Sus scrofa: one gene and its partner. The protein of the gene in region 1 interacts with the protein of each later gene in a biochemical or structural test. Links are inferred from orthologs where the notes say so. Each region holds a gene or a part of one and is shown in the gene's direction. Other genes may lie near its edges.

The links. The genes of interacting proteins can lie anywhere in the genome.
Region 2: the proteins of IPO13 (region 1) and MAGOH form a complex in vitro, tested with the Homo sapiens proteins (2 studies listed by BioGRID and IntAct). The link is inferred for Sus scrofa from reciprocal best matches to the Homo sapiens genes IPO13 and MAGOH.

Annotation. Positions count from the first base shown.
Region 1 is NC_010448.4:167,337,774-167,341,336, reverse strand, and holds part of IPO13 (importin-13), read left to right. Parts: intron 1-2,289; coding exon 2,290-2,430; intron 2,431-2,514; coding exon 2,515-2,656; intron 2,657-2,737; coding exon 2,738-2,904; intron 2,905-3,094; coding exon 3,095-3,215; intron 3,216-3,300; coding exon 3,301-3,448; intron 3,449-3,563. UniProt on the Homo sapiens protein: Functions in nuclear protein import as nuclear transport receptor. Serves as receptor for nuclear localization signals (NLS) in cargo substrates.
Region 2 is NC_010448.4:158,986,945-158,991,008, forward strand, and holds the start of MAGOH (protein mago nashi homolog), read left to right. Parts: upstream 1-1,227; 5' UTR 1,228-1,724; coding exon 1,725-1,812; intron 1,813-4,064. UniProt on the Homo sapiens protein: Required for pre-mRNA splicing as component of the spliceosome. Plays a redundant role with MAGOHB as core component of the exon junction complex (EJC) and in the nonsense-mediated decay (NMD) pathway.

The DNA of each region.
Region 1 (3,563 bases):
CTGAGCTCTACTGGGGTATATTGCCCTTGATTTATCCTATGATGAGGCTCAGATGGGACAAAGTGGAACGGTTGTTGAGTACCTACTGTATACATTAATTTCGAAGATGCAAGGGAGGCTTGGACTACAGTGGGGATGCTGTGGGGGTAGGGCACGACCTCCTGCCCCATCTCAGCTACTGGGGAGCTTGCAGGCCATGGCCTTGGCCCTGCCCCTCCTCTTTGTGCCAGAGTCTGGCCTGAAGGTGCCTATTGTCTTGTGGTGCAGCCTGTGTCAGGGCCATGAGACTGAAGCTATCCCAGCTGACTCCAGGCCGCACCCTCTGGAGCTGTCTCTGGGCTGGGGGGCATCCTGGTGTAGAAGCCTTGTCCCACTGGAATGGGGATGTGGAGACGTCCAGCATCCCAGACGGGTTGCCTCCTGTTCCACTTATCCGCCACCTAACGTTATGAGGCCACCTGCCTGGCAGCCGCTTGGGGCAAGTCCAGGTAGAGCTCCTGCTGGACCCTCAGCACCCGCCTCTCTGCATAGATTGCTATGGTGCTGCTGTGACTGACAGCAGAGTTGTCCCAAGCCTTCGCTCCCCGCTAAGAATATCACTTCCTCTGCTTGGTCTCACCGCCACAGATCAGGCTGCTGGGGAGGGGTCCAGTGGGAGGGAGGCAGCCTTCTCACAGTCTTCTTTGTATCCTTGGCTTCCTCTGCTCCTGCTTTAGGAGTCATTGTACCTCAGGGATCTCGTCTTTTCTCTCATTCAACCCTTTCCTCATGGGCAGTTCTCCTCTATGCCCAGAGCTGTTTGCTGATGACTCCAAAATCTCTCTCTCTTGCTCTCACCTCTCCACCGGGCTTCAGGGTTTTATATCCAGCTTTCTGGACATGTCTACCTGCCTCTCTCACCAGGTACCTCTGATTCAACACGGCTGACCCTGAATTTGTCACCTTCTGGCCTCCCGTTAACTTTGTGACTGTCCCCTCTACCCACCCCTCCAGGTCTCGGCCAGCACCTCCCCCAGCTACTTAGCTGTCTAGCCAGTAACCTGAGAATTGTCCTTGGCTCTGCCCATCCTCATCATCCAGTCAGTCCTCAAGGCCTGTCTGTTTTGCCTCCCAGCGCCTTGTGAGTCAGTCACCTGCTTCTCTCCTTTCTGCCACCAGAGCCCCCTCAGGAGCTGGGACGCGGTGGTAGGAGGTGGAGTGCAAGGTGGCGGTTGCTGCTCCAGAGGCTCTAACAGGACTCCGCAGCCGGCGTTGCCTCTTCTGTCTCCCATGCTTGCTCAGTCTCCCCCAACCCTGACTGTGTTAGTTTCCTAGAGCTGCCAGAATAAAGTGCCACACGCTGGCACCCACCACCGAAGTATACTGTCTCACGGTTGTGGGGCTTGGGGTCTGATAGCAGGGGTCAGCTTTCTGTGGAACCGGTAGGAGACTCCTTCCTCGCTGTCTCCTGGCTCCTGCTTGCTTGCTGGCAATCTTTGGCTGCCTAATGCCAGCCTCTCCCTTTGTCGTCGCGTGGCATTCTTCCTGTTGGTCTCTGTCTTCACATGAATGCTCCTGTTGAGAATACGGGTTGTGTCCCATCAGGCTCTGACCTCATCTGCAGTGACTCTTTCCTCATCAATTACACTCTGAGATAGGGAGGTTAGGACTTCAACGCAACTTTTTGGGAGGGACACAGTTCAATCCCTAACGGTCTGCCCTCCGGCCTCCGAAGTAATGTCCTTCCCGTGTGCGAAGCACATTGCCCTTATCTCACCCCCACCCCCAACAGTCCTGACCCATCTCCGCATCAACACTGAGTCCAGTGGAAGGACACAAGTCAACCCATAACCCTGACCTTCTCATACGTCTTCCCGGAGGTCTCCCGGAAGTCTCTGACCTAAGGTTCCTCCCAAACTGGGCAGCATCACGCCTGCCGTGTAGGCCCTGACCTCTTTTTTGCTTTGGATTTGATGTGGGACGGGGGGCTTTGCTGGAAGATTGTGCCGTTTGGAGTTCCCGTTGTGGTTCCGTGGTAGTAAACCCAACTAGTATCCATGAGGCTGTGGGCTCATTCCCTGGCCCCGCTCAGTGGGTTAAGCATCCAGCGTGGCCATGAGCTGTGGTGCAGGGCTTGGAGCTGGCATTGCTGTGGCTGTGGTGTAGGCCAGCAGCTGCAGTTCCAATTCAGCCCCGAGCCTGGAAACTTCCATATGCCTCAGGCGTGGCCCTAAGGGAAAAAAAAAAGAAGACAGTTGTGCCATTCTCTCCAAGCTGGTGGGGCTGGGTCTCCTCATCTCATGCCCCCAGGTACGTGAACACACTCCTGAAACTCATCCCGCTGGTGCTGGGACTGCAGGATCAACTGCGACAGGCCGTGCAGAATGGGGACATGGAGACCTCCCACGGCATCTGTCGCATTGCCGTGGCCCTGGGCGAGAACCACTCCCGGTGAGGAGAGGGGCCGCTGGGGCAGGGCAGCAGGGCCCCTGGGTGGGGGGGCTGGCGCGACCTCCCCGTGTGCCCGTCCCCCAGGGCCCTGCTGGACCAGGTGGAGCACTGGCAGAGCTTCCTGGCCCTGGTCAACATGATCATGTTCTGCACGGGCATCCCCGGCCACTTCCCCGTCAACGAGACCACCAGCTCCCTGACGCTCACTTTCTGGTACACGCTGCAGGTGCGTCGTGGGAGCCTCCGGAGGGCCGGGCGGGTGGGCGGGGGGCGGCGGGGCCGGGCTGACGCGCCCCCTCCCTCTCAGGATGACATTCTGTCCTTCGAGGCGGAGAAGCAGGCTGTGTACCAGCAGGTGTACCGGCCGGTCTACTTCCAGCTGGTGGATGTGCTTCTGCACAAGGCCCAGTTCCCTTCTGATGAAGAGTACGGGTTCTGGTCCTCAGATGAGAAGGAGCAGTTCCGGATTTACAGGTGATGGTGGTAGGCCGGTCCCGCCTCTAAAGGGAGTCCTGGCCTGATAAAGGCAGTGAGGGGAGAGGCCCAAGGCCAGGCCTCCCGAATCCGAGAACTCCTCTCCTTATCGTCTCGGCGCTGTGGCAGGGTGGCAGGGGCCCTGGGGGCAGCATCCGGGCGGTGTGTAAGGCCTTCGTCTGCTGCTCAGGGTGGACATCTCAGACACGCTGATGTACGTCTACGAGATGCTGGGGGCCGAGCTCCTCAGCAGCCTCTATGACAAGCTGGGCCGTCTGCTCACCAGCTCAGAGGAGCCCTACTCCTGGCAGGTACGTCCCAAGCCTGAGCCCCTCAGCCCTCCCAGACCCGTCACTCCCTCCTCCTCAGCCGAGCCAGTGCGCCCTCTTTCTCCAGCACACGGAGGCCCTGCTCTACGGCTTCCAGTCCATCGCCGAGACCATCGATGTCAACTACTCCGATGTGGTGCCCGGGCTCATTGGCCTCATCCCACGGATCAGCATCAGCAACGTGCAGCTGGCGGACACTGTCATGTTCACCATTGGTGAGACCTGGCTCACCCCCACTTTCCCGGAGCCAAGGCACCCCCCCCCCGCCGCAGCCTCAGCTGGCCTCCTGGGCCCTGTGCAAGGTGGGAGACCTCCCTGCCCGCCGCCCCG
Region 2 (4,064 bases), about 8.4 Mb from region 1:
GTACCCAGACAAAATTTTCCTTGTTTGTATCCACCCCAGCACCCCTCAAGGACCACATTTGACTGTATTTGATGTAACAGGCATGTTAGAATGTGGGGTCCCCCTAACCATTTCTGCTTTTTGTCTTGTCCTTCCAAGTTCCGTTAGCTTCTGTACTCGGTCCCCTTTGGAGTCTGGTTTCTCTTCCAGAGGCAAAGGGTGATGTGCTGCATCTCACTAGTTGACTTACATCATCTTGATGAACTAAAAACCAAATGTGGACGTTTGTAAAATAAATGCACTCTTTCTAGAGATTAAATTCATTTTTTAAAATCTGGAAGTACTGTTTCATTGTGATGCTTCAATGAGGGGGGTGTGGAGGATCAATATTATTGTTTGAATTTTAGAGATGAGGAAACGGGTGAAGGAACTGCCCAAAGTTGACACTTATGTTTTAGTGCCCCCCAAAGTACGTGTCGCACATGCAGTGCTCATGCGCATGTGGCGTTCTCTGCCTACATTTTCCTTCTCTGCCTCCTCTGGCTAATTCCTATTTGTCCTTGAGTATTCCACTTCCGAAGCCTTCTCTATTCTCCCTGACTCAGACCTGACTCATAAGATATGGTAACCATCTGTGTTTCCACAACAAATTTCGCCTACCTGTATCCCAGTATTTCCACTCTGCCTCTCACTCCCATGCCAGTGAGGCTGCTTTTACCAAGGTCACCCAGGACCTTCTTAATTATAAACCTTGCAGATATTTTCAGTCCTTATATTCCTTGACCTGGAAGCAGTATGTAACACTGTTGGCATTCCGTTCTTGAAATACTCTTATTTTGGCTTACAGGATGCTATACACCTGGTTTCCCCCCTACCGCTCTAGCTACGTCTTGTTCTCTTTTGCCTATGAATTTCATACTTCTGATCTTCTCATTTTCCAATCCAGTCTACAATATTGAAGCCAGAGTTGTTTTTCTAGAATGCTATATAGGTCATTTCACCACCACCCTTTGGATGACTGGGGAATGGGCGATTAAATAGTTAACTCCTACTCAAAGCATCTCTTCTAAAGACCAGAGAGGTAGAAAAGCAAAGGAAGAAATAAAAGCTTGAAAGAGATAAGTGCAGGCGAGTTTGTTACAGGGAAATGGCAAGCTCCACTGTGGATTCAGGGAAAGCGTCACGGAGAAAGGTTTCTTGAACTGGTCCTTAAACAGCAGGGTTCAGTTGAGCCAACGTTAGACACATGCAGCGTAGTGCGGGGCGTTCTATGAGTTTTGGGTCCTATAACCCTATTTTACTGTTGGCCCAGAGAGAGTAAAGGGCTTTGTCCCACTCACACAGACAGGTGTCCTGAAGGAAGGTGGAGGTTCAGAGGACGCAGGACTTGGAGTGTAAGCCCTTGGTCTTAAAACGCGGACTCCAGACCACGTTCGTCCTCCTACCAAGCTCTAGAACCCCTTGGACCGCAGGCCCAGAAGGACGCAGGCTTACAAACCTCAACCTCCCTCCCTCCCCGGCTGAGGGGGCGGGGCTACACCAATCCCGCCTCCGTGGGGAAGGGCTTCGTTCCGCCAGGAGGGGCGGAGCCTACTTGGCCCGCGGGTCGGGAGGGGTCGCTCTACGCCCGGAGGCGGAGTTGTCTGGCGTCACTTCCGCGCGCCGTTGTCTACGTCAGTGTCGGGCGCCTACGGCAGAGGTGCGGTTTGCTCTTAAAGTTCGGTCTCGGATACCTTTTGCGAGCCATGGAAAGTGACTTCTATCTGCGTTACTACGTGGGTCACAAGGGCAAATTCGGCCACGAATTCCTGGAGTTTGAGTTTCGACCCGACGGTGAGAAAAGCGTCCGGCCTGACGGGAGCGAGGTGTAGGCCTGGGGACGGGCGAGTGGGAGGAGTGTGCGAGGAACTGGAGGAGGAAGAGACTGATGGCTGTGAGGCGCCGATTTGGAAGGAACGATACTGTGTCTTCCCCACTGGTTCTTTTCGTGTTCAGAATCTTCTGTTTAGTGACATTTCTGACCACAATGATTCATTCAGTAAACGTTCCTTGAGCGCCTACCTTGTGCCAGGCTCTGTTCCACCATCTGGGATACAAGAGTGAACACTTCCCGTCTCATGGAACTTAGATTCCCGTGCTGGGAGATCTGTAAACAACAAACAAACAAAAAGCAACAAAAAAAGAAGATTCCAGATAGTGATGAGTGGTCAGAAAACAAAGTGATGGTATAATTGCTGGTGGACTGCATTTAGAAAGGGTGGCCATAGGCGAACTCTCTGAAGAGCAGATATATGAACTGAGTTCTGATTGACAAGAAGGAGCCAGCCTTGTGACTCTCAGGTAGAAGAGCATTCTAGGCAGAGGGAGAAACAAGTATCAAGGCCATAAGGCAGGGATGAACTAAACATGTTTCAGGTGGCCAGTGTGGCTGAAGAGTAGTGAGCTCTGGAGAGAATAGTAAGTAGCCTGATAAACAGGCAAGGGTCACACCATATAGTCTTTATAGGGTGTGGTAGAGTTGGGATTTTTGTTCTAAGTGCAGCAGGAAGCAATTTGAAAGTTTTAAGCAGAGGAGAGATGTAATATGTTCTTGAAAAAGTTTTGTAGTTATTAGGTGCAGAATGGGTAAGAATGAAAACTACTTAATAGGAGGCAGAATTGTTAAGACGGAAGGGATGTTGGTTGGGACTAGAGTGATAGTGATGGCATACTGTTGATGGCACAACCAGTAGGACTTTGCCAAGTGATAGATTTGGGGAGGCGCCAGTACAGTGAAAGAAAAGGAATCAAAGATGACAGAAAATTTATCCTAAATGGGGGCACAAAAATGAACTGACACGCCCCGGTTGTGAAGGAAATAGGTTTGTTAGCAAACAAAGACAAGACAGTGTAGTGGCTACTGGGGTAGAAAGACACAGAAAGGACCCTTGGAGCAGAAGGAAGGCACCTAACCCAGCCTGGAGGTCAGAGAAGACTTCTTGAATAAGATGACATGGGGAAGTGGAGGTTTGAGCCTTTAGTAATGTGAAGGAGTTAGGCAGAGAGTCAAGAAGGCATTTTCAGAAAGCATTAACAGCGAAGAGACCGAAACCCAAAAAGTGAATGGGGTGTTTCAGGCAGAAACCAAACACATTTGACCCTTGAACAACATGGGTTTGATTGCATGGGTCCACTTAATTTTTTTCAGTAGGAAAGACCTACATGATCCACAGTTGGTTGAGTCCAAGATGAGGAACCGTGGATACAGAGGAACTGCAGATGCAGAGGGCTGGCTCTGAGTTATACCAGTGTTCAACTACAGAGAGGCTGGGTGCCCTATGCCCAAGGTTGTTTATGGGTCAGCTGTAATTTGATTAACTCCAGCTATGTGCAAGAGGACTTTTGGAGGAGTGGCCCTGGAAGTGGGCTCAGCGTAGCAGTAACCCATGTTGAGGAATTTGGGTTTTATCAAGACGGCAGTGGGAAGTCATTGTTGGTATCAAAGTGTTAGAGTAACCTAATCAGATCTGTTAACTATCACTTTGTCCACTGTATGGAGAATGAATTGAAAGGAGAGGAACTTGAGGCAGAGAGACGGTACAGTGAGGCGTCAATTAGTGTGGCTCTTTTTAGTGTGCCTTCTGTTCTGTAGGGAAAAAATTATCTCCTTTATTTCCTTTTATCTTCTTCATATCCACCATATATACTCAGGTGAACCTGTTGGATGCACATATGACTTTTTATACCAAATATGCATAATAATATCACAGGAATAGATTATAGAGTGTTGCACAGTCACTTGTTTATATACGTAAAAAGCATTTTAACAGTTTTCAGAATGCTTTCACAACTCTTGAGCCTCAGGGGGCCCTGTCTGTAGGTAAGTTATCGGTTACTCCTGTTTTTCAGCTGAGGGCATTAATCTGCAGAGATGTGATTTGCCTGTCACAAAAGAGTCTGTTCTTTAATCACAACTGAGCTGCCTTTGGCAAGAATTATAATTCATTATCAGCTGTATTTTTTGCTGGGAGGCTATTTAATAGTGTTGATGGAAAAAAAAAAAAACTCAAAAGTTGAGAGTTATGTTTTATTTGACAGACATACTG